Linked DNA regions of Arabidopsis thaliana. The protein of the gene in region 4 interacts with the protein of the main gene of each other region in a pairwise test. Each region holds a gene or a part of one and is shown on either strand. Other genes may lie near its edges.

Region 1 (7,717 bases), on a different chromosome or scaffold from region 4:
AGGTTCCCTTGAAGATGATTCATGGCATCAGTAGCTTGCTCGATTTCCTGCAATTGGTGAGAGTGGGTATATAGACTACAAAGACAAAATCAAAAGCATGTATAACAACTTATACCTCAAAATCAGCAAATGCAACCGGCATTCCGCCTCTAGCTCGGATTTTTAAAATGTGGAAACCAGGATATCTGTAAGCAAATGGATCAGATCAATCGACTTTCGGAAAGGCAAAAACCAATGATTGTTTGAAGAAACATTCAAACCCTAATGCTGTAGGTTTCAGTCATTGTACAAGGTTACCTAGATAGGAGTTGTTTGAGTTCATCTTCTGTACAATTAGGCCCTAGATTAGCTATAAACAAGGTCGAACAAGCTCGAGCACCAGAACCTCCTTCAGATGCTTTCTCTAAGTGCCCCTGTAGAAATCTATCAGTAAGCTACTGAACCATAAGGAAGTCTATATGGAAGTATCTTACAGTAAGTAACAAATAAGATTTTATTAATCTTCAACGAACTTGAGAAATAGAGATATCTCAACTGGTTAAAAAGATTAGATTTTTGGCTTGGACTTACATTAGCAGATGGTGCTTTACTATCTGGCTCAGAATCCGCTTCGCTGTAAATTTGCAAAGAAATCAGAATACATTAGTCTTCTTCTTTTGACCTAAAAAACTACAAAACCAAGCTTCTAATTGTCATTTTCAACCTTTTGGTAGTATCGTTTTCCTTTGGAGAATCGCTATTTCCAGGTTCCTGCACCTCATCTGGATCGCTATCCCCTAGATGCATCAACAATGATCAAGCAGAAACATAAAGCATTCATACATTTAAATAATTAGGAGTCCACAAGGTAACCAGAACATTACCTTCATCACTCTGGTCATCCTGAGACTTAGAAATTTCCTTGTTTCTGTTATCAATCACAACATAAGGTCCACTTCCTATCCACATAGACTGTTCATTACTCATTGATCGATTTACCAACCACACTAACTCAATAGTAAGAAGAGAGTAAAGTCTAGAAAATACCTGGCCTTTCTTTTCTTCTAGAGTTTGATCTAGCTAGTTCTATATGTAGATTTGATCCTGTTTGAGGATCAAATTTCACACCCTAAAAGAAATGCTTCACCACAATCAAATAACACAATGTAACAATAGAGTCACACAATTCGATCAAAGTGAATCTTACATTTAGCTCATTCATTGCAGCCAAGGCGAATCTATGACTCGTGAATGTTGCAAATGCCACAACCTGAAGATAGGTAACTTCAGAAAGCTTAAACATCGATAGAATCACAAAGTATACAGCTTTTCTAAAAATGGGAATAAAAAAAAACAGAAATTGGAGATTTTTACAAACCTGGTCACCGCGTCCAGTGTACTTGAGCTGACAAGATTCGAATCCATGACGACGACGGAAGAGATTGTGGATCTCACGAGCCTTAACGTCATTAGGCAAGCCAGAGACAAAGAGAGTGTTAATCGCCCCAGGTTCGTCGGCGAGCAGTGGCAGCTGCGGCGGAAGATGATGAGGATGAGAATGAAGTTGATAGACGTAGAAAGGATCGTACGGTTGGTGATACGCCATTTTCCTCTAGCCGGCGGCGAGGTTGACGGTTGTATTAAGCGCCGGCGAAGAGAGCTGACGTGTAAATGGAAGTGTGAGACACACTGTTTAAATGTAAAAATATGTTCCTTTTTGAATTTTATGGGCTGATACTATTGGGCCTTAATGAATGGCCCAATAAGGCGCCAAAAAGTGATAAAAGTAAGCAGCCCGCCAAAAACAAGAAGCGAAGACTTTGACATTATTAAGTTTGTTCATACTTCAAAACTTAAAAACAGAGAGAGAATCAAACCAAACTTACACGGTTACACCATAAACTATAATTACACATAAGATGATCAAAAACAATAGAATATACATAAAAATGGAGATCAATCGTTTTAAGACGAAGGGTGTGACGTCAGTCCTGAAGTCTCAGTCGTCGCCGCTTCTTCATCCAAAAAAAGATCATCCGTCTTCCTAATCACCGCATGGATCAGAACCAACACAGCTCCGGCCATCAACGCCGCAACAATATTAAACGTCGCGTTGGTCAATAGAAGTAGAACGATGGTAATCACCGATAGACCAATCAAGACCGCACGATCGTCGATTTGAAACCTGAACACCTTGAGAGGCACATCACGGAGAAAATAAAGGAAGATCCATAGGAAAACCAAACCGGTAAAGACGATGAGCGAGGTCGGATGCCAAATCAAGCTGAAGAATATGACGTTCAAGATTACGATTGCGTAATTACTACGGAAGTAAGCAAGATTTGTCTTGATTCTTGAGAAAACATCGGAGACGCCGTGAGGTAGTCCCGTGGAGTGTAAATCGAACATCACCCTCCAGGAGCGGCGCGTGGCTAGTCCGTCTTTGATACGTTGCTTAGCGCGTGAGATAGACTCGTGATTCACTGCCGGAGATGCATGAGACGACGTGGTAATCTCGTCGTTGTTCGCCATTAGTGAATAAGATGACTTGATTGAAATAATGTAAAACTGTTCTGATTTATTGTTTTATCTCTCTGTGTATAATATATGAAGAAGGTCTCTTGAATTTGCATATGGAATAAAACCAAATAAATTAGATGGTGTGTTAAAACATTAGACCGAGTTTTTTTCCGTAGAAATTTTGTGATATTATTACAATAATGTAGCGTGATGTTATATATATATAAAAGGATGTAGCGTTATGATCTGATTCAATTTGGTCAATGTCTGAAAGTCGATCGAGTTCCTGGAATATGAAGTTGGAAGAATTAAATAGAAAAACTTGGTCTGCCACGTCCAGTGTACTTGAGTCTTGAGTGGATAAGATTATGGGGATGAGGATGATGTCGATAGACGTAGTTAAGATCGTAATGTTGGTGATACGCCACTTTAAACCGGTTTGCTTCTAATTGGCGGCAAGTGTGGCGGTGGTATTAAGCGCCGGCGAAGGGAGCTGACGCGTACAAAGATGTGTATGCTCAATACTGTTAGACCATCTCCATCAGTAAGGAAAGTTTTTCAAAAAATTAAAATATTAATATTTTAATTAAGACAGATATATTAATTGTTATTTAATAGTTAAACTAATAATAGGATAACAGCTGTCCAAATTGAATGAGAATAGTTTCTCAAAGTTTCTCCTCCAAGAAACTTAATTCTCCTTCTCTCCTACTTTTTCTTCCTTCTCTCTTACTTTTTCCTTTTTTATTATATTTTTTTTATTGGGTATCTCATTGAAAGACTACTGATGAAGATGCTCTTACATATCTAATGGCGTCCGTTTAGAATTACATGGGCTAGAATATTTGTGCCTTTTGAAAGACCTAATTATATATAAGGATTTTTGCTTCAAATCTTTACATTGGAAATTTGAATAAGGCCTGCATATATATCAAGGATTTTTGCTTCAAATTGCTCATTTGTGTGACCCAAATGAAAAAAGAACTTAAATCAAGACCAAACTTTTTTTCCTACTTTGAAGGTGAACCAACCTGAATAAACTTTACAACAAAAATTGATTATTTTTTTGTTACGGAATGCAAAAAGGGAATATTCATTACAACCCATTTTGAATTTATAATGTTTGACTTATTAATTTGATTATTTATTATGTATTTCAGATTAAATCATTTTAAATATTTCAGATTAATAAATCATTCCAAGAAATTATTCCTGAGTTTTGCGAATATAAAATACTCCCTCCGTCCCACTAAGATGAATTTTTTAGAAATTGCACATTTTTTAAGAAATATTGTATAAACATAATTTTAACCTCTTAATATATTTTAAAAATAATAATAAATATTTATCTAATTATTTAGTAAGGGTAAAACGGGAAAACAATTTTAAAATTTGCATTGCAAATATAAAATTTCTATCTTTGTAAGACAAATATTTTTCCTAAAAAATTTATCTTTTATGGACAGAGGGAGTAATAAAAATTATAACAAATTAGAATTGTTCAAACTTCAGACAGAGCTCAAAACTCAGAAAACAAAAGAGAGAGAGAAAGTCTCAAACCAAACTCACACCAATAAAAATTGATTACGCATAATTAAAAAAACAAGATAATATACAAAAATAGAAAAGATACACAAATTTCGAGATGAAACGATTTAAGTCGACGGGTATGACGTCAGCCCAGAAGTCTCAGTCGTCGCCGCTTCTTCATCCAAGAAAAGATCCTCCGTCTTCCTAACCACCGAATGGATCAAAACCAACACAGCTCCGGTCACAAGCGCTCCAACAATATTAAACGTCGCGTTGGTCAACAGGAGTAAAACGACGGTTAACACCGATAAAACAATCAAGACCGTCCGATCATCGATCTGAAACCGGAACAGCTTGATAGGCTCATCACGGAGAAAATACAGAAAGATCCAAACAACGACCAAGACGGTGAAGACGATGAGCGATGTCGGATGCCAGATCAAGCTGAAGAAGATAACGATCAAGACAACGATTGCGTAGTTCATACGGAAGTAAGCAAGATTGGTCTTGATTCTTGTGAACGCATCGGAGACACCGTGAGGCAGTCCCATGGAGTGGAAATCGAACATCACTCTCCAAGCACGGCGCGTGGCTAGCCCGGCTTTGATACGGTGTTTAGCGCGTGAGAGAGACTCGACATCCACCAACGGAGATGCATGAGACGACGTCGGAATCGCACCGTAGTTCGTCATTAGTAATATCGGGTTATGGTTTAGCGCGTGTGAGATTGAATAGAGAAAGTAAATGAAAAGACTGTTTGTTATGTGTATATATGAATTCTGAAAGGTCCCAAGAATTAGGTGATACACATTTGCATATGGCGTTTTCTAAACTAATCTATGTTTATGAAATAAAACAAAATTTAATTAGATCGTGTTTTAAAAAGATTACAATATAGTGTAACGTGAGGATTTGATTCACTACTTGGTCAATGTCTGAAAAGTATAAGTTTTAGATACTCGAGATTTGGGTAACAGCAATTTATAAGTAGATGAATTACTACATGTTGAAGGACTATATAGTTAATTTGAAAGACTAATGATAAAGTAAGAGACACGGTGTCACCGAGCGAGAGTGGCATTATTGAATAGTCGATACAGGCTACACGTGACCCCATTTTAGAGGAGTCTCTCTGGCATATAACTACTCTTTCGCCACGTGTAATGTCGGCAGGAACAATGAGTAAATTATTTATAGTCTCCCTCGGACTTTATCATGATTTTTAGTCAGCCCAATTACAAAAGATATTGGCCCAATACAACGAAGGTTTCATGTCACATGCTCTCTCTCCATTGGACGATCCACATCGATAGGCTTCTTTAGCGAGCCAGACTCATGGCTGCTTTAGAATTGATCCCGCTCTGTGAAACAAGAAAATAGTTAGCTTGTGTCAAAGCACAATACATATAAGATCAAAACTATACCAAAATGTATGATGGATTACAAAAATCTTAAGTTTTTCTCCATAAGAACCAGAGAAACCTATTCAACAAGATTGCTTAAATCAAAGGTATATTATATAATGTAGCTTTCGTTACAAGTAAGCAGAGAAGCAAATACATATATGTAAATCAAGTAGTACCAGATCCACATCACCTATTTTCAAAATAATTCTACATTTTTGTATATCTCAAGGTCTTCCAACAGTCTCTAGTGTCTGCCGCAGCAAACAAAGGTTCTCTCACGACTGTTCAGGGAGACTAATTAATCCCAATAGATGGGGGATATGTTTCACTGTTACCATTACCAATCTTATATGATCACCACCCACTAGAACTAAATGGTGATATACTCATTATATACTCTTATTGTTCCAATGGTTAGTGATCATACAAGATTCGTGATTGTAAAACGTATCCGCCATCTCTTGGATTAGTATCTCTGAAATTGTCTACTTACATGAAAAAAAAAGTTAGTGTTCTCCATGGCCATGCAAACTTCACCAAAAAAAAGCTATAACAACGGAATTTCGGGCTGGACTTATCATCAGCCAAACGAGAAATAACTAACAATAAATGAAAATCAAGGTCTTGAAAAACTCAAAATAGGGAATAAAAACAAGAAAAGGCTCAACGGCGGCGATAACATAAGAAATACCTATTTGCCTAAACAGTTGCCCGTCTTTGCCAATATATAGGCTTTTCTATTATGCAACTTTTGGGCCTTTAACAGGCTTAACGGATGGATCTCTTAAAAGTGAAGCCCTCTTATCCAAATCAATTCTAAAGGCTATTGTGTTAACATAAACAACTCGTAGTTACAATAGTGAGAAAAATGTAATATAGTACAATTAGTGGTTAGATCTGGTTGTTAGTGATGTTCAGTTGAAACAACACAACTTTCTTGTCTTGTCACGTTGTTTAAATCAATTTCAGTGGGTTGTTATGTTAATTACATCATATCATATAAGTGGAGGAGAAATAATATGACTTTGCTTAATCATTCATTATTACATCTAAAACTATTAGAGACTATTCAGAAAAGAGAAAACCATCACCCAGTTAAAAATTAAAAAAATAACTAGTAACTGTAAAATTGCTTAGGAAGCGTTGGCGTAAGCTAATGCTTCTCTGGATCCGTTAATGTCTTCAAAAATTTCCTAAATCTATTGTAGCTTTGTTTTTACTTTTTTTGCCAAAGTTGCTTTTGTACTGGTTTTCTTTGTAACGCCACAACTTCATTATTAATGATATTAACATATTTAGCAAAAAAACTGTAAAATTGCTTGAAATAGATGTAGACTATCATAATATCTTTATTAGACCATTCTTTTGGAAATATATAAATGATTGAACCAGAATTATAACTTTTCTGTAATGATTTTCTTAGTTAATAATTTAATATACGAAGAGGAATAGTCGTCCTTAACATTTAAAAAAAAAAAAGAGAGAGAGGAAATAGTCATGAAAATTAGGATTCTATATCATATGCATAATTATCATACACCTTTGTACTTCAAAAAAAAAATATATATATATATATATATATACGGTCAACAAAAAGGTTTTGTGATTCTGTCCTTATTTGCCTTGTGAAGGAATACGACAAAATAGTTGGCATGTGTGCTATCGTCTTCCACACGTGTGAATCATTTTTTGTCTCCAAACTCCATCATGTTCTCTTTTTTTCTTACCTTTTGCTGTCTCACTATCTTTTTCACTTCCCACTTACAAAACACTCGTGTGACTTCTTTAACCTTTTAGAGTTTGATAATGCAAAACTGATTCTCCATTTTTCACTTAAGAAAAATGATTTATATTCTTTTGATCCAAATGGGTAATTTGTTCTTCATATGCACCGTTGGGAAGTTTATGATTGTGTCTTCTTCTGCTATCCATCTGCATATCATAATCACCAACATATTTTCAAATAAGTCTCTGTATATCGTTTAAGAGTTAAGTCCAACTTGTCAAAAAGAGATTAGACATTTAGATTTATTTGGTCCGAACGTACCATTTTGTCTAAAGTGTAGAGCACTAATTACCACACCCTCTTGTTTGTTTTGAAATTTAAAGATTACAACAAATATTAAATAATTTTGTATCCATGTAACTGATAGTTACCTGAAGCGAGTGACAAGATGGTGAAGAAAAACTGAAGTTTCAAGACGAGCCAAATCGAGACCAGGGCACAATCTCTGACCACCTCCAAAAGGACTGAAACTACTCGTGTTCATGTCCCTTTCCTA
Region 2 (9,790 bases), 9.6 Mb from region 4:
CCAACACCAACACCTCTCCGATGCCGTTACTGTCGCCGTCGTGAGCTTCGATTCCGAAGAGGAGAGGAAGGAGGAAGACGACAGTAACCGCAATGATTTCGAGGAGGAAGAAGAAAAAGAGAAGACAGATGGGTTTTTTTCTTTTAATTAGTAAAACGGAAAAAGACTAAGCGCGGCTCATGTTTTTCAATTGAAATTAGTAAATTACTCAAAATAGGATTTTTTTTTTGTAAAACTATTTATTAGCTGATAATTTTTGCTTTTTTGAGAGTTAATTACAACTGGATTTTTTTAAAATTTTATTAATTGGCACGAAATATGATATTTGAAGGTGTATTTTAAATTTTTAGTAAATTTACAAAGAAATTAATAATAAGAAATATTACGTATCAGGTTATTTTATTGTGTATGTTAAATTGAATTATATGTAACTAAGTAAATACAAGAATTTGATGTTGTTTTTTTTTTTGCCAAAAGGTGTTGTTATTTATATGAAATATTGTACAAACATCCATGATACAGAGATGATATTACACATTACAAAGACGTCTATATAAAAAGATTGAACATGAACTTTTAAAAGACTGAATCAAGGTTCATGTACAAAACAGAAGGATCAGGATGCTAGAAGATCAACTACCAAAGGAGAAGGTAGAAGCCCTGGCAGCAGTGTTGAAAGACAAACATCTTGACTTCTCAATAAGAACAGGAAACGAAAACTAAGTTTCGCATCTGAACTTATAGCTTCCATCTTATGCTTATGTCAAGAGAGCTTCTTACTTACCAACGTATCAACCAACCATAAGTAGTAGTAGAAGATTGAAACCGTCCTATAAACCCTTCAAGTTTATACCCATCAAACTGCAACACTTAAAACTAAAAAGGACAGTAACTCGAAACAATCCAAGATAGATTGTTCAGCCAAAAGCAGTAAACACTAAAAGGAGTTATGATTCCTAAGCAGCTATAGACATTCCAAAAAAACAAACCTTACCCCAAAAAGTTGAATTCACAGAGTATAAGGGTAGATTATACTCACATTTGTAGACACAATTTTTCGAGATCTTATCCTCACAATGAAAACAAAAAAACTCATAGCATACTCTAAGTATCATGCAAATATTTTATTAGTCGGTGGCATCAAACCACCTAAGGCTCAAAATATCCCCTCTAGTAACCAACTTTCGTTACAAATTTCAGGATTAAGGCTCCAACTCGGAAAGAGCATATTCGATGTTCTCTTCAGCTCGCGACACATATATCGATTCCACCTCACAAATCACTCAAACCGAGCTCATCTCATGATGCATAAGTTGGGTTTACTTCGCAATCACTTGAACTAAGTCCTTCTCACGGCGTATTTGTCAGGTCACCTCGCAACTACTTAATCCAAATTCATATCCAACAGCATTACAAGAATATTAGTCTTCAAGCAAATAACCTTACTCAAAGAACTCAAGCTTATGTTGATACCGGATCGCGCACGACAAATCCATCTTACGCATCCAAGTTCCATCACTTTACAGAGCAAAGAATGTACATCTTGCATAAGAAAGGTGGTTAAATCTTGATATTAATTTGTGATTAAATTTATGAATTAATGGTCATGGTTTAAGGAGTAAACTTGCCATTCAAGTTTACGAATTAATTATGAGAGTTATTTTATGAGCTAGATATGTACCTAATGGCCAAATAAAGATACATAGGAGGAAGGAAAAGACTATAAAGAGAGGTGGAGACCCTAAGAAAAGAGACTCCATCTTTTTTTTTGTAAAATGGTTTTCAATGTTATAAATAAGGTCCAATGGACTATTTCCGGATTTAGGCTCATACATTTTCCCTTAGACTCAATCCACTTACATATAACCAGACTAAACCATCTATTACAAAACCGATCTAAACCGAAAGTTGAAAATCCTAATCTCATATCGTAAAACACGATCTGAGCCGCCGTCCAAGAATTGCAGAATCTCACCGGAACAGAAACCCTTTGGGGAGCCTAGACGAGATTCGTCGAACGGAGATGGTAATTCAGGATCCGTTGTCCTCCTGCCACCGTAGAGCAGTTTTGAGGAGGAAGAGGCGATCCGGGTTGCCATAGTCATGAATCTCATAGCTCAGTCGAGAGAGTTGACGGCAGTAGTGAGTAGATCTCAAGACCATCGACGGTGGTAAAGCCTCACCGAAGCGGAGTCGACCTCCCCCATCAAGCGGCGACCCAATGAAACCTCCAGAATCTTTAGACTTCCGACCTAACCGCCGTCAGCCCTTGTTCTTCACTGTGAAGTCTCATCCTTCCTCTCCGTGAAGCCACACCACCGATATAGCTCTTACCGACAGTGTCTCGCATAATCTTCTCCCCTCCACCAGGGCCAACTCAATATATTCTCTGTCACTGTACAAATTTTCAAATTTAGCCCTTTTATACTAAATATTTTGAGTTTGGCCCTTACATTTAGTTAAAATTTTATTATGGCCCTCAGATTTAGTCAAAATTATCTTTTTGACCTCAAATTTGATAAATTTTTTTATTTTACCCTTTAATTTTGATCAAATAATTTTTGGATCCTGTGCAATTGCTCCTCTTGCACTCCCCTAATGCCGCATTTGCCCTCCACTGCTCCCTTGATTTTGAATAGATTGAATTGCCGAGAAGATGTAGCGGATCACGGTTGAAGCACCATGTCCCAATGGGTTTCTTCGTCGCTGGAGTCAACGAAAAAACTTATTGACGGAACAAGAGATTGTGATTATAAGAAGAAAAAAATTTGAGAGAGAAATCGCCCACGCGTAAATATCACTTGCCCGACTTCTTTCTAGTATAACTCCAAGAAAAACACCCAAGAAACTCCATCTTCTACATTCTTGACCCCATTTTAGATACAAACAATGTTTTTTCCAATCCTTATACTAAAAACTATTTCTTTGCTTTATGCAATACTTCCAATATCCAATGCACAATATAAGCTAATATCTCTATTTTTATCTCTTTATTTTCTTTGCTAAATTATATTAATTATTTTACTCATTTTTGTGTTTGTCTCCTGAAAGCTTTGTTCCATCTCCTTACATTGCAAAACGAATCTATCCGGATTTTGTATTCACAATCTCTGTAAGTCCAACCAATAAATTTCGGTTTGGTTTAGCTTACCAGTTACCACTCCATACTCTAAAAATTTAGAGGTCAACAAAATAAACGAACTCACTCGAGTTAAAAAAAAAAATCCTCCCATCAATACGCCTCCATAAACCTCTCTCTATCTGGTGGAGCGACACCAAAAACAACAAAGCCTTCTCATTTTCACACTTTGGGTAATCGGAGAATCACAAAAAAATGGGAACCCTAGGACGAGCAATTTACACTGTGGGTAACTGGATTCGTGGAACTGGTCAAGCTCTTGATCGCGTTGGTTCTCTTCTTCAAGGAAGTCACCGTATCGAGGAACATCGTAAGCTTCCAGATCCTTCCACTTAATACTCTCTATTGAAACCCTAGATCCAATTCGTTATCTCTAATTTGTGTCTTCACCTTTGATTGGAGAAATTTGTGGCTTAGATTGAAAAAATTTGATTCGAGAAATTTGTGTTTGTTTTCAGTGTCGAGGCATCGGACGTTGATGAATGTGTTTGATAAATCACCATTGGTGGATAAAGATGTGTTTGTGGCTCCGAGTGCTTCTGTTATTGGTGATGTTCAGATCGGAAAAGGCTCGTCGATTTGGTATGGCTGTGTTCTTCGAGGTGAGGCTTTATTACTTCTAGAAAGTCTTAATGGCCTTTGGTTCGATAGAAGTACCAAATTTTGCAGCAGTATATTGTGCAAAGTAGTCATAGTTTAGTTTTAGGAAATGAAGTTCTCTTTACCTTCTAATAATCTTGTATCGCTGTTATACGTTACTGTCCTGATCATTGGACATAGATTTATTGTACTGTCGATAAAATGTGTCATGAAGTAGCTGTGAAACTTATTGTATGTTAATCTGGGTTTCTAACTTGTGCAGGTGATGTGAATAACATCAGTGTTGGATCTGGGACGAATATCCAAGATAATACGCTTGTACATGTTGCAAAGACCAACATAAGTGGCAAGGTTCTACCTACTCTGATTGGGGACAATGTAACAGTAGGTAAACCTTAAAAAGCGATTTATCAGTTTTGAAGTATCTGTTTTTATGTTGTGTTACACGATTGTTAGTTAAAGGTTTTGTTTGTAAAATGAAACGGAGCAGGTCACAGTGCTGTCATTCATGGGTGTACTGTTGAGGATGATGCTTTTGTTGGTATGGGAGCAACACTACTTGATGGTGTGGTGGTTGAGAAACATGCCATGGTTGCTGCTGGTTCTCTTGTGAAACAGAACACGCGAATCCCTTCTGGAGAGGTTTCTTTCTTTCCACTTTATCTTTTCTGGTTTACTGCTTACGGAGTTTGTGATAAGACTGGAACTGGAAACTGCTTTATTTCTCACTAAACTGAACGAGAAAATCCAAAGTATCAAGAACCAAAAATAGAACTCTAGCTAGGTTTACTTATCACGGACCCTGAAGCTCTACCAAGCCTAATAACGAACTGCTAATTAACCAAGTAATAGCAGCTGTAGTCTGCTGCATTTAGTCCTACGCTGACCTGTAGCTAAGGCTTGACCAGCTGAACTTCTTCAAGTAGATCCACTTTTGCTTTGCTTACAATTTAGTTGATACAGAATTAGTTAATGAAATGATATGCCTGTAAATTGTATTATATTTTGATCAAAAAGAAGAGTAAATAGTATTTATATATCGTCTAAATCTGAGAACCACCTTTGTTTCCGTTGCAATTCTACTTGTATATGAAACAAGGGTGAGTTGGGAGTAACAGAGGGTTCTTGTGTTTCCAATGTTTTATGAGGAATTAGACGGATTTCTTATATCGCTATGCTTTTGAACTACTTTCTTCAACCGTCAACCTGAGAATATATTTACAAGGACATATCTATAAGTTATCAGTTTCATGTGGCAGGTGTGGGGAGGAAATCCAGCAAAGTTCATGAGAAAGTTAACAGATGAAGAGATAGTATACATCTCACAGTCAGCAAAGAATTACATCAATCTCGCACAGATTCACGCCTCAGAGAATTCAAAGTCATTTGAGCAGATCGAGGTTGAGAGAGCGCTTAGGAAGAAGTATGCACGCAAGGACGAGGATTACGATTCAATGCTTGGGATTACCCGTGAAACTCCACCGGAGTTGATTCTTCCCGACAATGTCTTACCAGGTGGTAAACCCGTCGCCAAGGTTCCGTCTACTCAGTACTTCTAATTCCAATCTCAGGTTGTTTTTGTGTGTTGAAATCATTTCAAGACAGGATTGATTCTCTGGAAGGTCAAGAGAGATATTATTTTGGTTTTAACTTTTCTTCCGAGCAAGCAGGAGATTTATCATCCTTGCTCAATAATGTATGGTTGCATTATGAAGTCATTTCTTCGAGGAACAATTTGCAGAAAGAGAAACAAAGTTGGATTAATCTTTCATTCTTTCTCTCGCTGTTTCTCTCATTCAAAATGGTGTCTGTTTGATACACTCTCTAGGTTGGCGATTCGCCGATTATTATTATCATGTGACAGATTTGACTTAAGTAGGACTAAACATAAGCTAGTGGCACTCAATAACTCCTTGTTCCAAGCTGTTAAATAAACAAAGCCGAATAAAAACCACAATTGTACTTGGAAGTTGGAACATATCAAAGAGCTACACACAAGAAAATTGGTTAGAAAATCCAACTTTGAACTCATTCCCTCTTGCTCAAATTTCCATTGGTGCAACATCTTGATCACCTGAACCACCTTGTTCACCAGTTCCAGCAGCACCAGGAGCAGCTTCGGGTTCGGCCTCACCCTCACCAGCATCTTCCTCTTCCTCAGGAACCTTCTCAAACGTATCAATCACCTTTTGAATGCTTTCCTGGTCCAAGAAATGGAATGGTTCATCGACTCCTAGAACAGAAACAGTGCAGAGCGAGCTCTTCAGTGTTTCCCCTTGCAAAGTTTCCCTTATGGCCATAATAGCATCTTTTATCAGATCTTCTTTTGATGATTCTTGGAAGCTCTCGAATTTGCGCTCCAGATAGGTTTTCGCAGCTTGTGAACGAGACCCGATAGCGAATGCTTGATATTCAAAGTAGTTTCCGCTAGGGCAGTTGTAGTAGAGGTGAGCTCCTGACTCGTCCAATCCACCTACCAGCAAACCCACACCATAAGGCCGTTTCCATGATCGTTGGGTACATACCTGCTCAAAGATAATTTATGAAGATGTTTAATACAAGACAAACAAATGACTTAACATTTGAATGAAATCAGAGTGTTGTTCAAACTACAAGACTGATATCAATACGTTCTCAGAAATCAATTGAAAATGTAGATACAGCAGCTAACTTAATTTTTGACAGACATGAAAGTAAGTGGGACGTAGCAATCAAACCTTTTAAAAATTGTGAACACATCATCTAACTTGAGAACACTACGTTTAACACCAAAAGTAGTGAACATGTAGCACAAATTTCTATCACAACTGTAAACCAACATCTTACTGAAAATATACTTCATTAGGCAAGTAAATAAAGTGGCCAGGACATACTACAACTACAAGTAAGTAAACAAATGCAAAGTAATACAAGTCAAAACCACAAAACCAAAAAGAGATCAACAAAGACGTATATTTATTCTAGAATTGCAAGCAAAAACAACTCTATCAAGCAAAGAGAACAGACGATGACAACACAGAAACAACCAAACGACCAAAATCATCACATTCTTATACACTTCTATCGTCAAAGTGGGTATACAGGTTAACTCTTTCTAATCGGATTAAGCAACTAGCAACAGAACTGGATATGATTAACAACACAAGAATCTCTAATTCCCAATCACTAAGACTTGATCACAAACCAATATCACTACTTGCATAACAACACACACATTCTACAAATAAAATTGGCCACATTGCTAATAAAAACCTAAACTTTACTCCAATTACATAAAGCTTCAAACTTTCAGATACTCACACATCATAAAACTAAACCCTTTAGCAAATTCTAGGTCAAAATTCAAAAGTTAACCCAAAAATCTCAATTTACCTGAGCTTTATCAGCAAGATGAACAACAAGACGACCAACAGGAAGAGGAGACTCATAAGTAAAAGAGTGATTAATAGACTCAGATCTCATATATCGAGAGAGAACACGACCATCAGCAGTGAGACCAGCAATAGCAACACCAATATGATCATCGACTTTAAAGATCTTCCTTTGATGAGAAGAGAGCTCTGATTGTGCTTTGTTGACACAAGCGAGGACGACATGAGAGCGAGATCTGAGTCCTATTGCTGCGGAGCCTTGTTTCACAGCTTCCATGGCGTATTCGACTTGGAATAGTCGACCTGTGGGACTCCATGTTGTCACATCTGTGTCGTACTGGTTCCTGAACATCTTTCTTCTTCTTGTTCCTCTGTTCTTCAAAAGCTTTTCGTTTGCTTCAAGCTAGAGGAGGATGGTCTCTCTTATAGAGCTTAGAAGAAGAAAGTAAAGATTGTCAAAAAAAAGAGAAAGAAGACAGTAGAGTAAAATGGGCTTATGAAACTTAATGGGCTGGGTTTAATTATCCATTACTCTTTATTATTTTTTACACATTTAAAAGGATTATAATTTTATAAATAAATACTTAGCATTATATTATTTCTTTTTATAGTAATTAATTTAATTCATAATTTAACATTTGCAGTTTCAATTGGTTTTACATTATTTATTTACACATTTTTCACTACACTGATTATAAATTTACTATTCCCTCTGATCCTAAAACAATGATATTTTGGATTTTTCACAAATTAAAAAAAATAACTTTTATATTATTTTTATTGTTTTTTCTTACTGCAAACTATGTTTTAATCTATGAATGTAGATCATTACAGAGAAGGTTTTTGAACCAAATTGGCTCGTTCCTAAAGTCTGCTTTGAACACAGAAATCGTAAAAATTGGGGAAGCAAAATAGTCCGCTTAAAACACAAAAATCGTAAAATTAGGAAAACTAAATGGTGAGCTATACTATTACAAAGACGTTTTGTGAAAGTAAATACAATAGATGAAAATCTGAAGACCAATACTCTAAATCTAGAAGTAAATTAGCAATTTTACTTCTATTAGACTTGCCATTGATGGTTTTAATGAGGACTTCGCAATCTCTTTGGAATTGTACTTTCTTGTATTTTTGTATCCAAATTTGTTGCATCGCCACAAGTAACGCTTTCGTCTCAGCCTTTAGGAGAGTGTTGACATGATCTAAAATTGAAGATCCTCATGTGTTTGCTATCCCTTCATGGTCTCGTATAATCCATCCACCCGTACTTTAAGTACTATTCCTGTGTAAGTCCGCATCGAAATTGCACTTGACAAAAGAAACTGTCGGTTTTCTCCATGAAGTATTTTCCGATGATGGTGCTCTTGTTGTAGTAGTTTTTTCTTGCCTCCCTCTCGTGTTTATAATTCATTTATTATTTTTTTAATTAATTTAATAATATCAGTTCTACTTTTTTTCCTTTCTCTATTGATCACTAATGAAAATAATATTAATTTAAAACATCAACTTTTGTGAAACAAAAGTAAAATTTAAAACATCAAACTTCATGGACTAGAGGGAATTACAAGTTATTGTATTTTATTATTTCTAATTTTATGAAAATTAATAATTTAGCATGTGTAGTTTAAATTGGTTTGGAATAAAATTAATTTAGAAATCTAAACAAATAAAGTCACATGTTATTAGATTTTTAATTTGATATTTTGTTTTTGATAAAATCTTGTATTATTTGGTTGGAAACAAAGAGTATTAAAATTGTGTCAATTAGCTAACTAGCCAAATTCGACATACAAATTAGCAAAATAGTCATACGTCAGAAAACTTTAGTAAATAGTTTTTTCTTGGGGTGTAAAATAACCAAAATAACCTGGAAAAATAGACGGGAACTCGTGAGTTCCGACACTAGGTGTCTATATGTAGGGAACATAAACATGCGTAGGTAATGAGTAACCCGTTTTATTTATAAAACACACGCCATTTATATATGTTTTTGTTCCTGATGAGCCACATAACTTATAGATTTCAATTACCAATGAGAACATAAACATGCGTAGATAATGAGTAACCTGCTTTATTTATTAAACACACGATATATATAGATGTATTTGTTCATTTTTTTCTTAATTCTATAAACCACATACCTTTTAGATTTTACAGATGCATTTGATATTTAAACACTAACTTATATCACTAAATATGTCAAAAACGGACCATATATATATACAGATGTTTGCTTTGTATGCGACTAGTTATTCAATGGAGACTAACAGATAAAAAGGTCAATGGTAACTGTAACATAGAATGTTATTTAAAAACAACACATGTAATTCCTATATGCATACGCTGTATGAAAACAATGGGCGTGAGTTGGAAATTGTGTATTGGGCAATAAACTCGGCAAAGTATCAACTTATAGAGATCATACATTACATGCAATGTTTCGTTATATCAGTAATCATTAGTATGCAACTTGCTACATAATATGGTCGCCAAATCTTATTTGCGATTTGACAATGTAAATCTATCCGTAGGAAAATATTTGATACGTATCTATTGCATTAAATGCGGCGACAGTGTTATATACGAGTTCCAATGTTGCATTGGGGGAAGGGGTGAAACAAATTCCAAAAACAACGTGTTTCGTATAAATATAACATAGGATAACCACTAAGCATCCACC
Region 3 (6,549 bases), 6.3 Mb from region 4:
ACTTTCTTCTTCTTTGGTATCCAATCATGGAGATTAGTTTGCTCTGTTTTATTCATTGTCTTTCTTTTGTTTGGTCTTTTTGTTAGGCCGAAAGCTATGGACTTTCCCTAGGTTTGCTGGAGATTGTGCTACTGGTCATTGGAAACTGCATTCTGATCCAATGTCTGAGATAAAGAGTGATCTCACTGATACTTGTTCCCAAATGATTCTCCAGCTTCATGATGTATATGATCCAAACAAGGTTTGAAAATTAGTCCACCATCAAAATAATGATATTCTGAAATATCTAGAGTTATTCTCATGCTTGTTTCTTTGAAGGTTAATGTCAGGATCAAGATTGTTTCTGGATCACCATGTGGAGCTGTTGCGGCTGAGGCCAAGAAATCTCAAGCAAATTGGGTAGTTCTTGATAAGTAAGTTAATAATCTGATTTTATTCTTCAGTTCTTTAGTTTTTACTCTCTTTGTGTGGTTGAATGATTATATTTCTTTTACAGGCACCTTAAGCATGAAGAGAAACGGTGCATAGATGAGTTACAATGTAACATTGTGGCGATGAAGCGTTCTGAGGCAAAAGTCCTGCGGTTGAACTTGGTCGGGTCTTCAACAAAGGAACCAGAATTAGCATCTGAAAAAAACAAAAACAGGTTGTTAGATTCTGTTAAAGCGGTTGTTACAACTACTCCAATGAGCAGTCCTGAGGTTGAGACATCATTCACAGGAACAGAAGCTTGGACTTCATCAGTATCTAGCTCTGACCTCGGTACATCATCGCCAGTTTTCACAGCTGAAGTGAGAAAGGATGAAACTTTGGTCGTCAAAGAGAATGAATCTGATTCTGATTCAGAGAGCGAAAATCTATCACTACCTTCCTTAAGTAAGAGATTCCAACCATGGATATCAGAATATCTTAGCACTCATTGCGTCTCGATGCAGGAATCAACGAGAGGCGATGATAAGGCTGTTCAAGTATCTACTAAAAAGGCTTTGCTTGAGAAAATTTCTAAGCTTGATGAAGGAGAAGAAGCAGCTATGTCAAGTAAAAGGAAAGACTTGGAGGAGTATAGTGGAACCTTAAGAGCGTTATCACGAAATGCTCCTCCTGTTTCACCTCCTCTCTGTTCTATATGCCAGCACAAAGCGCCTGTATTTGGAAAACCACCGAGGTTTTTCTCCTACAAAGAGTTAGAGCTTGCAACAAACGGGTTTTCGCGAGCTAATTTTTTGGCAGAAGGTGGATTTGGATCTGTTCATAGAGGTGTATTACCTGAAGGCCAGATTGTAGCAGTAAAGCAACACAAAGTGGCCAGTACACAAGGAGATGTAGAGTTTTGCTCTGAAGTAGAAGTTTTGAGCTGTGCTCAGCATCGAAACGTAGTTATGTTAATCGGTTTCTGCATCGAAGATACCAGAAGACTCTTGGTCTATGAATACATATGCAATGGATCATTAGACTCTCATCTATACGGTAAATAGAGTTTCCAAGTTAGTTAAAGATGTTGTTAACCTAAAAAACACTTAACTAGAGTTATCTAACTAACTTTCATGAAATGTCCATTTAGGTCGCCATAAGGACACTTTGGGATGGCCTGCAAGACAAAAAATAGCGGTTGGAGCGGCTCGAGGTCTTCGATATCTTCATGAAGAGTGTAGAGTAGGTTGCATTGTTCACCGAGACATGAGGCCTAACAATATACTAATTACTCATGATTATGAACCACTGGTATTTATATTTTCTTGAACCACAATTTACACTTTTTTATACATTCGTTTGATTCTGTTTTTGTTTCTCTTTCAGGTTGGAGATTTTGGTTTAGCAAGATGGCAGCCTGATGGAGAGCTAGGTGTAGACACGCGTGTGATAGGAACTTTCGGGTAACAAAATTTATAACTAAATCATCATTCTCACTCTAGAGTAATTTCTCAACTACTTTCTGTGTTTCTTGTTTTAGCTATTTAGCTCCAGAGTATGCTCAAAGTGGACAAATCACAGAGAAAGCCGATGTTTACTCGTTCGGGGTTGTATTGATCGAACTAATCACGGGTCGTAAAGCAATGGATATCTACAGACCAAAGGGACAACAATGTTTAACTGAATGGGTAAATCCATAAGTTTCTTCTTTTTAAGGTTTCTTAGCTCATTTTCAGTCTCTTCTTGTAAATGAAATCTAAAAGTTTCTTTCTTGAAGCTCATTTTGTTATTTTATTTTCTTTGTGAGCAGGCAAGATCTTTATTAGAAGAGTATGCGGTTGAGGAATTAGTTGATCCGAGGCTCGAAAAGCGATATTCAGAAACACAAGTCATTTGCATGATTCATACAGCTTCATTGTGTATACGTAGAGATCCACATTTGCGTCCTCGCATGTCTCAGGTAAAGAAAAGATTCACCATTCTTGAAACATGTTCATTTCTTTAAGTCAATAAAACTCTCTCAAGTGTGTCTGCTCTTTTGCTTGTTGTTGAAGGTGTTGCGTTTATTGGAAGGAGATATGTTAATGAATGAAATCTCAGGGAGGTTTAATGGAAGACTATCCACTGAGAAAGGTCTCAGAGATCATAACTAAAAGCTCAACTAGCCAATCTGATCACTTTCTTTTGGTATAGTGCGTAGGATCAATAGAAGAATTTTGTAAAATCAAAGTCCTCTTAATTGACAATTATGGTTTTTTAGTAGCTTTATCCAAAGTGATTAGTGTTTGTAGTGCTAATCATGTAATAACGTAATTAACCAACAAAACATACTCAAAAATTGTACTGTTGTCAACAAATTGAACAAAGTAGAAGAACATGTCAAGTTTTCTCAAATCGCACCAAACTCAGTAACATACAAAAAAAAAAAACAAATTTTTGGATTTACGACGAAGGGTATGACATCAGCCCTGAAGCTTCAGTAACCGCCGCAGCTTCTTCATCAAGAAACAAATTATCACTTCTTCTAACCGCCGCATGAATCAGAACCAACACGGCGGCGGTTAACAAAGATCCCAGAATATTCGAAGTAGCGTGAGTCAACAAAAGCATCACAACCGTCAAAACCGATAAACCAATAAGAACCGTCCGATCATCAATCTGATAACCAAAAACAACAAGAGGCTCGTCACGGAGGAAATAGAGAAAGATCCAGAAGACGACCAAGATTGATAACACGATCAACGAGGTTGGGTGATATAGAAGGCTTAGGAAGAGGATGAAGAGAACTCCGATGGCGTAATTAGCTCTGAAATAGCCGAGATTCGTTTTGATCCTCGAGATCGCGTCGAAGAAACCGTGAGGGAGAGTCATTGATTCGAAATCGAACATTGATTTCCATGGGCGGCGCGTAGCTAGACCGGATTTTATACGGTGTTTGGCGCGTGAGATGTATTCGAGATCTATCGCCGGTGATGGATGAGACGACGTCGGAATCGCCCCGTAGTTCGTCATTTTTGGAGAAGAGAGACACGAAGCTTTTTTTTTTGTTGGTTGTAATAATTTATAAATTGCTCAGTGTCCCTATGGATTAGGTGATGGTGCTAATGTAAATGTCACATATGGATAAAAGTTGTTACATGCCCAATAAATACATAAATGCTTTATATTGTAATAATTTTTTATTTGTTTTGCAACTGTACATTTATGGTAACAATATTGGTATTATATGTGTTTAACAGTCAGCATCATAGAGACATATTCTTAGGAAAATGTACAGCATATTATATTCTCTGTCATTTTCAAAACATAAATCTGATTAATTACTTGTAAACAGCATAATTTTATTCATTAGAAGGATTAATTTTTTTTTCCGGCAGAATAAAAATTTCATATTATTAGTTCACCAAAGAAACTGCGACCGAGTGGTTTCTTTGGCAGCGCTTTGTTGCTGCACGTGGCTTATCCCCACAAATATTTACAAACTCCACCAGATATTTTCATGCTTTCACATTTTAGTCCCAACCTTTTGTTTGAATACCATCTAACACTTTGCTTTTTAAAATTCCTATTTTTAAAAACCGAAGTCGAATGCTTGATTTGTATTCAAAGACACTTCACCTTCGATTTTGTCATCTATATGGTTGAATGTTTTCTTTAAGATTGTCCATGGAGAATCCTACAAGTTTCACCAAAAACATTAACAAATACATATACATATATGGATGGACATAACCTTGTGCATTCTGTAATTGACCAGCTTCAAACACATACTTGACAATTCACAGAAAATTATCTCTCATTCTCTTAAAGATACATTTTGAATAAAGAGAAGATGGAGCTTGAAGAACAGAAGAAGTACTTTCATGGAACACTAGAGATTACAATCTTCGATGCAACACCTTTTTCTCCTCCATTTCCTTTCAATGTAAGTCTATATCATATACTGAATTAGTGACTCTGATGATGTTATCATTGTGTTCATTTTCATGAGCTTTTGTTATCTTTGTTCACAGTGTATATGTACAAAGCCAAAAGCAGCTTACGTGACCATCAAGATAAACAAGAAGAAAGTTGCTAAAACAAGCTCAGAATACGACCGTATTTGGAATCAGACTTTTCAGATCCTCTGCGCTCACCCGGTTACTGACACGACTATCACCATCACGCTCAAGACTCGATGTTCTGTTCTCGGAAGATTCCGAATCTCTGCAGAACAGATCCTGACATCTAATTCAGCAGTTATCAACGGGTTCTTCCCTCTGATTGCAGACAATGGGTCAACGAAACGTAACTTGAAGCTTAAGTGTTTGATGTGGTTCAGACCGGCTTATCTTGAACCGGGATGGTGCAGAGCGCTTGAAGAAGCGTCTTTTCAAGGTATTAGGAACGCAAGCTTCCCTCAAAGATCGAACTGCAGAGTCGTACTGTATCAAGATGCACACCACAAGGCCACATTTGATCCAAGGGTTGATGATGTTCCTTTTAATGCAAGGAATCTATGGGAAGATGTTTACAAAGCGATCGAAAGTGCTAGGCACTTGGTTTACATTGCAGGATGGGCACTAAACCCTAATCTTGTTCTTGTACGCGACAACGAAACTGAGATTCCACATGCGGTTGGAGTAACGGTTGGCGAGCTTCTGAAACGGAAATCAGAGGAAGGTGTAGCGGTGAGAGTAATGTTGTGGAACGACGAGACGTCTTTACCAATGATCAAGAACAAAGGTGTAATGAGAACAAACGTCGAAAGAGCTCTTGCTTACTTCAGAAACACAAACGTTGTTTGTAGATTGTGTCCAAGATTGCACAAAAAGCTCCCTACAGCGTTTGCACACCACCAAAAGACAATAACACTGGATACACGGGTGACAAATTCAAGCACGAAGGAGCGAGAGATCATGAGCTTCCTTGGCGGGTTTGACCTTTGCGATGGTCGATATGACACTGAGGAGCATTCACTGTTTCGTACACTCGGAACAGAAGCTGATTTTTACCAGACAAGTGTAGCTGGAGCTAAGCTAAGTAGAGGCGGACCAAGAGAGCCATGGCATGATTGCCATGTGTCCGTGGTTGGAGGAGCGGCTTGGGATGTCCTGAAGAACTTCGAACAGCGATGGACGAAACAGTGTAACCCTTCCGTGTTGGTTAACACTTCAGGGATCAGAAACTTAGTAAACCTAACCGGACCTACTGAGGAAAATAACAGGAAATGGAATGTTCAAGTTCTGAGATCGATAGATCACATATCGGCAACAGAGATGCCAAGAGGTTTGCCGGTAGAGAAGAGTGTACACGATGGCTATGTCGCAGCAATTCGAAAGGCTGAGAGGTTTATCTACATCGAGAATCAGTATTTCATGGGAAGCTGTGATCATTGGGAGAGCAAGAACGATAAGTACGAAATTTCTCTTAACGAAGCTATTAAATATCCATTGGGAGATTCTGATCTATTTTAGTATTTCTTTTTTTGATGGATAGAATCTGCAGCGGATGCACAAACTTGATACCTGTCGAAATAGCGTTAAAGATTGCTGCTAAGATACGTGCAAGGGAGAGATTTGCTGTGTATATAGTCATACCGATGTGGCCGGAAGGGCCACCGGAGAGTGAAACGGTTGAAGAGATACTTCATTGGACGAGAGAGACGATGTCAATGATGTATCAGATCATTGGAGAGGCGATATGGGAAGTTGGAGACAAGTCGCATCCGAGGGATTATCTAAACTTCTTCTGTCTTGCAAACAGAGAAGAGAAGAGAGATGGGGAGTTTGAAGCAGTTTCGTCGCCCCACCAGAAAACGCATTACTGGAATGCGCAGAGGAATCGGAGATTCATGGTCTATGTCCACTCCAAGCTCATGATAGGTAACAAACAATCCGCAATTCACAATCTGAAATGAAAATATATTGAAGATTCGTTAAACTTTCACAAACTTTCACTTAAGATTTAAATTACAGAGATTGTCATATGTTTGTAGTGGACGACACATACATTTTGATAGGATCAGCCAATATAAACCAGAGATCAATGGATGGTTGTCGGGACACCGAGATTGCAATAGGTTGCTACCAAACCAATACCAACAACACCAACGAAATCCAAGCTTACCGGTTATCGCTCTGGTATGAGCATACCGGT
Region 4 (7,040 bases):
CTCTGTGTTAGTCCCAAAGCTGGTTACCTTTTACTCTGCTTTCAATCTCCACAATGAAGCTCAATCGATTATTGAGAACTCTGACATTTTGCATCCCTTACCTTGGAATGTGCTCATTGCTTCGTATGCCAAGAACGAGCTTTTTGAGGAGGTTATTGCTGCTTACAAGAGAATGGTGAGCAAGGGAATCCGACCCGATGCCTTCACTTATCCGTCTGTTCTTAAGGCTTGTGGTGAAACACTTGACGTTGCCTTTGGAAGGGTGGTTCATGGTTCCATCGAGGTTAGCTCTTACAAGTCCAGCTTGTATGTTTGTAATGCATTGATCTCTATGTATAAAAGGTTTAGAAATATGGGTATTGCTCGGAGGTTGTTTGATCGAATGTTTGAAAGGGATGCTGTCTCATGGAATGCAGTGATAAACTGTTATGCTTCGGAAGGCATGTGGAGTGAAGCGTTTGAGCTTTTCGATAAAATGTGGTTTTCAGGTGTTGAGGTCAGTGTCATAACTTGGAATATTATTTCTGGAGGTTGTTTGCAAACAGGAAATTATGTAGGAGCTTTGGGTTTGATCTCTAGGATGAGAAATTTTCCTACGAGCTTAGATCCTGTGGCTATGATTATTGGTTTGAAGGCTTGCTCTCTCATAGGAGCAATACGATTGGGAAAAGAGATTCACGGTCTTGCTATTCACAGTTCTTATGATGGGATTGACAATGTTCGAAACACGTTGATCACAATGTACTCAAAATGCAAAGACCTTAGGCACGCCTTAATAGTGTTTCGACAGACTGAAGAAAATAGTTTGTGTACTTGGAACTCTATCATTTCCGGTTATGCGCAGCTGAACAAATCAGAAGAAGCCTCTCACCTGCTGAGGGAGATGTTGGTTGCTGGCTTTCAGCCAAATTCCATTACACTAGCAAGCATTCTCCCTCTTTGTGCTCGGATTGCAAACCTGCAACATGGAAAAGAGTTTCATTGCTACATCCTGAGGCGCAAGTGCTTCAAGGACTATACAATGCTGTGGAACTCCCTTGTTGATGTTTATGCAAAATCGGGAAAGATTGTAGCTGCAAAGCAAGTATCTGATTTGATGAGCAAAAGAGACGAAGTAACATACACTTCCTTGATAGATGGATACGGAAATCAAGGTGAAGGGGGAGTAGCCTTGGCCCTGTTCAAGGAGATGACCAGATCTGGTATTAAACCTGACCATGTAACCGTGGTTGCAGTTCTATCAGCCTGCAGTCATTCCAAGTTAGTCCATGAAGGTGAAAGGCTGTTTATGAAGATGCAGTGTGAGTATGGTATACGTCCTTGTCTTCAACATTTTTCTTGTATGGTTGATCTCTATGGCAGAGCAGGTTTCCTAGCAAAAGCCAAAGACATAATTCACAATATGCCATATAAGCCATCCGGTGCCACGTGGGCTACCCTACTGAACGCGTGTCACATCCATGGGAACACACAGATTGGTAAATGGGCAGCAGAAAAGCTCCTGGAGATGAAGCCAGAGAACCCGGGATACTACGTGTTAATTGCAAATATGTATGCAGCTGCTGGTTCTTGGAGCAAGCTTGCTGAAGTGAGGACTATAATGAGGGACTTGGGTGTGAAAAAGGATCCTGGCTGTGCTTGGATCGACACAGATTCTGGATTTTCACTGTTTTCGGTGGGGGACACATCAAGCCCTGAAGCATGTAATACTTATCCTCTATTAGATGGACTGAATCAGCTGATGAAAGACAATGCTGGTTATGCCATCAATAAGGTGCAAAGTTCAGATGAAGAACTTCTTCAAGAAATGGGATGAAGGTGAAGAGCTGAGGATGATCAACTGGAGCTTTATTTAGTTAATAGCACATAGTCTATATACGCCTGCATATCACCAGACTGAGAACAAGTTGGATACACATGACAAGTTCTAGTATATACATTAACTAAAATTGGACAATGGTGGGGATTGCTGCGGAAGTATTTTTCCTATATAACACAAAGAAAACTTATATTGTGAGCTGATTCACTTCATCGAGCAAGAGCTTTGTAATGCCATCAGAATTGGTCGGCCAGTTGAGGAAATTTCTGCAGCAGCCAGGTAACTCCCTTTATAGCAGCCTGAATACACAAAATGCAAAAGCTGTTAAATCTTCATTACCTCTGCAATTTCAAACACATCCACACAATCAAAATTGATAGTAGCTCATGTTACCAGAACTGTTTCTCCAGGTTTGATTGCAGGCTCAACGCAGTCTCTTCCATATCTGCAAACAAAACAGAGAAGAAATGTTTATCCCAGCAAGACAAAAATTGGCATCTCTGTCAGTCTACACGATCTGTCGAGAAAAGTGTGCTTACACGATCTGTCTCTTCCCATCAATCACCTCTAACCGGTAAAAGCTGCAACCTTTGCTAAATGGGAAGTTCTTTCCTTTCCATTCTGTCAAAAATCTCCAATTTACGACTTATCATTAGAGAAACATAGACGACTAAATCATAAAGAGTCTGTTAAAAACTAACCTAAATGCCATGAAACTCCAACAGCTGAAGAGTCTTCTGTTGAGATATCATCTATCACGAATTGGAGATCCGTACTTGTTGATTCAATGAATTTTCCGAAGAAATCAAGAATTGCCTGTCATGGCTTTATCAAAATTAGGCTCTGAGACACAACAAAGTCTGAAAAGAAGAGACTTTGGTTTATTAGAATAATAATCGTTTCACCTTTCGGCCAACAAAGGGAGATGAGAAGACGAGATCCTCGTAGACGCAGTCCTGAGCGATGAGGTCTGTGACAGAGGATAAATCATGGACGTTAACGGCGGCGTAGAAGCTGGAGACGACCTCCGACGCTGATGTCGGAGCTGTTTCTGGAACAACGTCGTTGGCTGTAGCAGCTTTTGCAGCTGGACCATAGGATGCGGACAATCTCGGAGGCTGTGAATGAGTGAGGCTTGTTGGCTTGACAAGTTTGGTTGGGAGGAAGAAGGAAGGAGGAAGATGGTTGAGCGAGACGAGTGAGGGAGACGTCAAATAAGAGACGAGAGAAGCAGTGAAGCTCATCGTCGTTTCTTGATATGATGTCTTCGTTTTTGTGGCTCATTTGTGTTTGTGATTAAGAGAGCAAAGAGTTGAATTTTGAATTTCAATTGGAATTTGTGGACAGAAATTCTTATTAGTAGTCCCTATGATTATCGATGCCATGTGGATACTGTAACAATCAATAGAAGTATACTCCAATCCTCTTTCCTATTAATTGATGATTTTTCTATCATCATTTCATCTTATTTGTTTGTGAAATGATACTTTTAATTTAGTTGTGAAATGAGATTTTATAATTTTTCGAAATATAAGACTAGGTAATGCGTAGCAGAACAGAAAAGTAAAGAAAAATATGTGTTGGTGGATAAAAAGTTGAATTGTTTTTCATAATTTTTAGATCAATGATATATTTTCAGTAAATTCTTGTTCATCGGTTCTCAAATCTACATAAAGAGAGAAGCTAAGCAAACATTTAACCCTATTTTTTAGATTTTGTTTTTTCACTCCTGAACATATAATGAATAAAGAGATGGTTATGAAAGACGTTTATAATAATCTTTAAAAAAAGAGAAAAAAATCGAATCCTTCATAAATCTTTTACATTCATAGATGGAACACAATAATTATAACATAAATAAAAACGAGAAAATCAAACTCAAGCCATGCACGTCACTATCGAAAAGTTCTCACAAAAACAACAACTCCAAAACATCAGCCATGAAGCGATATTTGTTGATGAGATGCTCTATCTCCTTGATAAACAAAACCTCACATTTTTCATTCAATTCTTTGGCCTTATTATCTCCAATAAGCTTACCTTTCTCCAAAATATACTCTTCAGAAATAAATTCTTTGACCATCTCCTTACTTAAAAACATCTTCAAAGATGGATACCGAGCCCAAAACTCATCTTTAATACCATTAGCCTCAGTTTCTGTAACAACTATTGACATAAGATTTTTTTTTAAGAAAGTATTAAAGATACGATACAAAAACTATCTTAATCACTTTTAAGATTTTTATATCAACGTAATAATCTTGAAACCTCACAGTCAAACAGAACATGAACATGCAAAGTATTTCTTAACAAACGCTCCAACTTCTTTACAGTGGAAACATGTGAAATGGTGAAGTGAAAAATCTGAAATAAAATAGAGAGTGATGCATGCATGTACCTCCATTGTTGTTTTCAGAGTCTGATGGTTCGTCTTCCATTGAGTCGTCGTCTTCCGATGAGTTGGAAACTTGGGAGTCGCTGAGTTCTTCTTCGGATGATTCAGGTTTAGGTGGAGAGTTGATCGTAACCGGCACCATCGTCGTTAAGATTAAGTTCGAAGAGACTAGATAAAGTTTCTAAAGAGAGAGATAGAATCGGACAAACAAAGAGTCGATATGTGAACAAGTAGAAACATGATGTTTATTTATACAGTATCGTCGGGAAAACGAAGAGTCAATTACTTTATTTAACTGAATATTTTTAGTGACAAAAATATGAAACGTTTTTTTTGTAACTTGTCCAAGTTGACATGAATTGTTTTTAAACGAGGAAGATTGAAGCAACCACCAAAATAAAAGCCAATAAATTCTAAATACATGCTTTTTTTAAAAACGAAACCGTGTGTGAACTGATGGGCTACAATTGTTTTGGGGGCCCTAAGCCCATATTTCAATTTTCTGGCCCAAATATTAGCTTTCAATTTCAATTGCATACTTTATAAAAATAGTTTAAAGCTACATATAAATACTAACGACCTTTAGCTTAATCAAGTGGTTAGTGGTCACAATGGAAGTAGTGTCGTCTCTCGGAATCCGAGACCTCCCGGCGTCCCTCTCCGTGACGACGAGTCTCAACCACCGTCCTCATCGTTCCGATAAAGATGGCGCTCCGGCGAAATCTCCGATTAGACCAAGCAGAACTAGACGACCTTCCACTTCTCCCGCCAAAAAGCCGAAACCTTTTAGGGAAAGAGATGCTTTCCCTTCTTCTCTTCCTCTCCACTCCAAGAACCCCTACATTATCCACAGAGATATTCAAATTTTTGCGAGGCAGAACAATCTCGAAGTCGCTCTCACGATTCTTGATTATCTCGAACAGAGAGGGATTCCTGTAAATGCGACAACTTTCTCTGCTCTTTTAGAGGCGTGTGTTCGCCGGAAGTCGTTGCTTCACGGTAAACAAGTCCATGTTCATATACGTATTAATGGGTTGGAGAGTAATGAGTTTCTAAGGACCAAGCTTGTTCATATGTATACTGCTTGTGGTTCGGTTAAAGATGCACAGAAGGTGTTCGATGAAAGTACTAGCTCAAATGTTTACTCTTGGAATGCGTTGCTTAGAGGGACTGTTATATCAGGGAAGAAGCGGTATCAAGATGTTCTTTCTACGTTTACAGAAATGAGAGAGCTTGGTGTTGATTTGAATGTTTATAGTTTATCTAATGTGTTTAAGAGTTTTGCTGGTGCATCTGCTTTGAGACAGGGATTGAAGACGCATGCACTTGCGATTAAGAATGGTTTGTTTAATAGTGTCTTTCTTAAGACTTCTCTTGTTGATATGTATTTTAAGTGTGGTAAAGTAGGGCTTGCACGTCGAGTTTTTGATGAGATTGTAGAGAGAGATATAGTTGTTTGGGGGGCGATGATTGCTGGATTGGCTCACAATAAAAGGCAGTGGGAAGCGTTGGGACTGTTTAGGACGATGATTAGTGAAGAAAAGATATATCCAAACTCAGTTATACTTACAACGATTCTTCCCGTACTTGGGGATGTTAAGGCACTGAAACTGGGGAAGGAGGTCCATGCCCATGTATTGAAATCGAAGAATTACGTGGAACAGCCGTTTGTTCACTCTGGTTTGATTGATTTATACTGCAAGTGTGGGGATATGGCTTCTGGGAGACGTGTGTTCTATGGATCCAAACAGAGGAATGCCATATCTTGGACTGCATTGATGTCTGGATACGCAGCCAACGGTAGATTTGATCAAGCTTTGAGGTCGATTGTTTGGATGCAGCAGGAAGGTTTTAGGCCAGATGTTGTTACAATTGCTACTGTTCTTCCTGTTTGCGCAGAGCTGAGGGCTATAAAGCAAGGAAAGGAGATTCATTGTTATGCTTTAAAGAATCTCTTCTTGCCGAATGTATCCCTGGTCACTTCCTTGATGGTGATGTACTCAAAGTGCGGTGTTCCAGAGTATCCTATCAGACTGTTTGACAGGTTGGAACAAAGGAATGTGAAAGCATGGACCGCTATGATTGACTGCTATGTGGAAAATTGTGATTTAAGAGCAGGGATTGAGGTATTCAGATTGATGCTGTTATCAAAACACAGGCCAGATTCTGTTACGATGGGTAGGGTTTTGACTGTTTGCAGTGATCTCAAAGCATTAAAGTTGGGGAAAGAGCTTCATGGGCACATTCTGAAAAAGGAATTTGAGTCGATCCCATTTGTTTCTGCAAGAATCATCAAGATGTATGGAAAATGTGGAGATCTCAGAAGTGCTAATTTCTCTTTCGATGCTGTTGCTGTCAAGGGCTCTCTGACATGGACCGCCATTATAGAGGCTTATGGATGCAATGAACTCTTCAGGGATGCAATAAACTGTTTTGAGCAAATGGTATCAAGAGGGTTTACTCCCAACACCTTCACATTTACAGCAGTTTTATCTATTTGCAGTCAAGCCGGATTTGTTGATGAAGCTTATCGCTTCTTCAACTTGATGCTCCGGATGTACAATTTGCAGCCATCAGAAGAGCATTATTCACTGGTCATTGAACTTCTCAATCGGTGTGGTCGTGTTGAAGAGGCACAAAGACTTGCGGTCATGAGTTCCTCGTCATCCCTACAGACCTGACTGCAGATTCAGACATCTTCTTTGCTTTTTCTCAAAGCCACCAAGTAAGTTGCTCGAAGAGTTATGAGAAGTATATTCTGTTCTCTTGTTTCCAAGAACTTGCATTAATAGTGCTGTATATACTGAATTTGGTTCCAGAATGATT

What was found.
Region 1: the proteins of AT1G71480 (region 4) and PRA8 interact in a two-hybrid assay, tested with the Arabidopsis thaliana proteins (one large-scale study listed by BioGRID).
Region 2: the proteins of AT1G71480 (region 4) and GAMMA CA2 interact in a two-hybrid assay, tested with the Arabidopsis thaliana proteins (one large-scale study listed by BioGRID).
Region 3: the proteins of AT1G71480 (region 4) and PRA7 interact in a two-hybrid assay, tested with the Arabidopsis thaliana proteins (one large-scale study listed by BioGRID).

What each region holds. Positions count from the first base shown.
Region 1 is NC_003074.8:4,491,048-4,498,764, forward strand, and holds PRA8 (PRA1 (Prenylated rab acceptor) family protein), read right to left. Parts: upstream 5,754-7,717; 5' UTR 4,722-5,753; coding exon 4,155-4,721; 3' UTR 3,932-4,154; downstream 1-3,931. Other genes in the region: AT3G13700 (RNA-binding (RRM/RBD/RNP motifs) family protein), read right to left, coding at 1-47, 116-185, 298-413, 571-613, 704-776, 864-938, 1,027-1,108, 1,187-1,249 and 1 more; PRA1.F4 (prenylated RAB acceptor 1.F4), read right to left, coding at 1,945-2,511; CYP90D1 (cytochrome P450, family 90, subfamily D, polypeptide 1), read right to left, coding at 7,283-7,367, 7,593-7,714. UniProt on the Arabidopsis thaliana protein: May be involved in both secretory and endocytic intracellular trafficking in the endosomal/prevacuolar compartments.
Region 2 is NC_003070.9:17,316,892-17,326,681, reverse strand, and holds GAMMA CA2 (gamma carbonic anhydrase 2), read left to right. Parts: upstream 1-3,197; 5' UTR 3,198-3,334; coding exon 3,335-3,449; intron 3,450-3,597; coding exon 3,598-3,741; intron 3,742-4,001; coding exon 4,002-4,127; intron 4,128-4,229; coding exon 4,230-4,381; intron 4,382-4,998; coding exon 4,999-5,298; 3' UTR 5,299-5,781; coding exon of another isoform or gene 5,782-6,264; 3' UTR 6,265-7,111; downstream 7,112-9,790. Other genes in the region: AT1G47265 (uncharacterized protein), read right to left, coding at 1,884-2,114; PAF2 (20S proteasome alpha subunit F2), read right to left, coding at 5,782-6,264, 7,112-7,462. UniProt on the Arabidopsis thaliana protein: Enzyme involved in the catabolism of H(2)CO(3) but that does not mediates the reversible hydration of carbon dioxide. Mediates complex I assembly in mitochondria and respiration. Binds HCO(3)-.
Region 3 is NC_003070.9:20,585,324-20,591,872, reverse strand, and holds PRA7 (PRA1 (Prenylated rab acceptor) family protein), read right to left. Parts: upstream 3,477-6,549; 5' UTR 3,424-3,476; coding exon 2,854-3,423; 3' UTR 2,674-2,853; downstream 1-2,673. Other genes in the region: AT1G55200 (kinase with adenine nucleotide alpha hydrolases-like domain-containing protein), read left to right, coding at 87-241, 319-413, 497-1,467, 1,562-1,722, 1,798-1,874, 1,952-2,099, 2,222-2,371, 2,466-2,564; PLDEPSILON (phospholipase D alpha 4), read left to right, coding at 4,244-4,336, 4,425-5,806, 5,890-6,275, 6,389-6,549.
Region 4 is NC_003070.9:26,928,102-26,935,141, reverse strand, and holds AT1G71480 (Nuclear transport factor 2 (NTF2) family protein), read right to left. Parts: upstream 3,291-7,040; 5' UTR 3,064-3,290; coding exon 2,725-3,063; exon of another isoform or gene 2,675-2,724; intron 2,636-2,674; coding exon 2,521-2,635; coding exon of another isoform or gene 2,516-2,520; intron 2,441-2,515; coding exon 2,359-2,440; coding exon of another isoform or gene 2,355-2,358; intron 2,265-2,354; coding exon 2,213-2,264; exon of another isoform or gene 2,119-2,212; coding exon 2,056-2,118; 3' UTR 1,829-2,055; downstream 1-1,828. Other genes in the region: AT1G71490 (Tetratricopeptide repeat (TPR)-like superfamily protein), read left to right, coding at 1-1,816; AT1G71470 (uncharacterized protein), read right to left, coding at 3,729-3,985, 4,218-4,356; AT1G71460 (Pentatricopeptide repeat (PPR-like) superfamily protein), read left to right, coding at 4,826-6,895.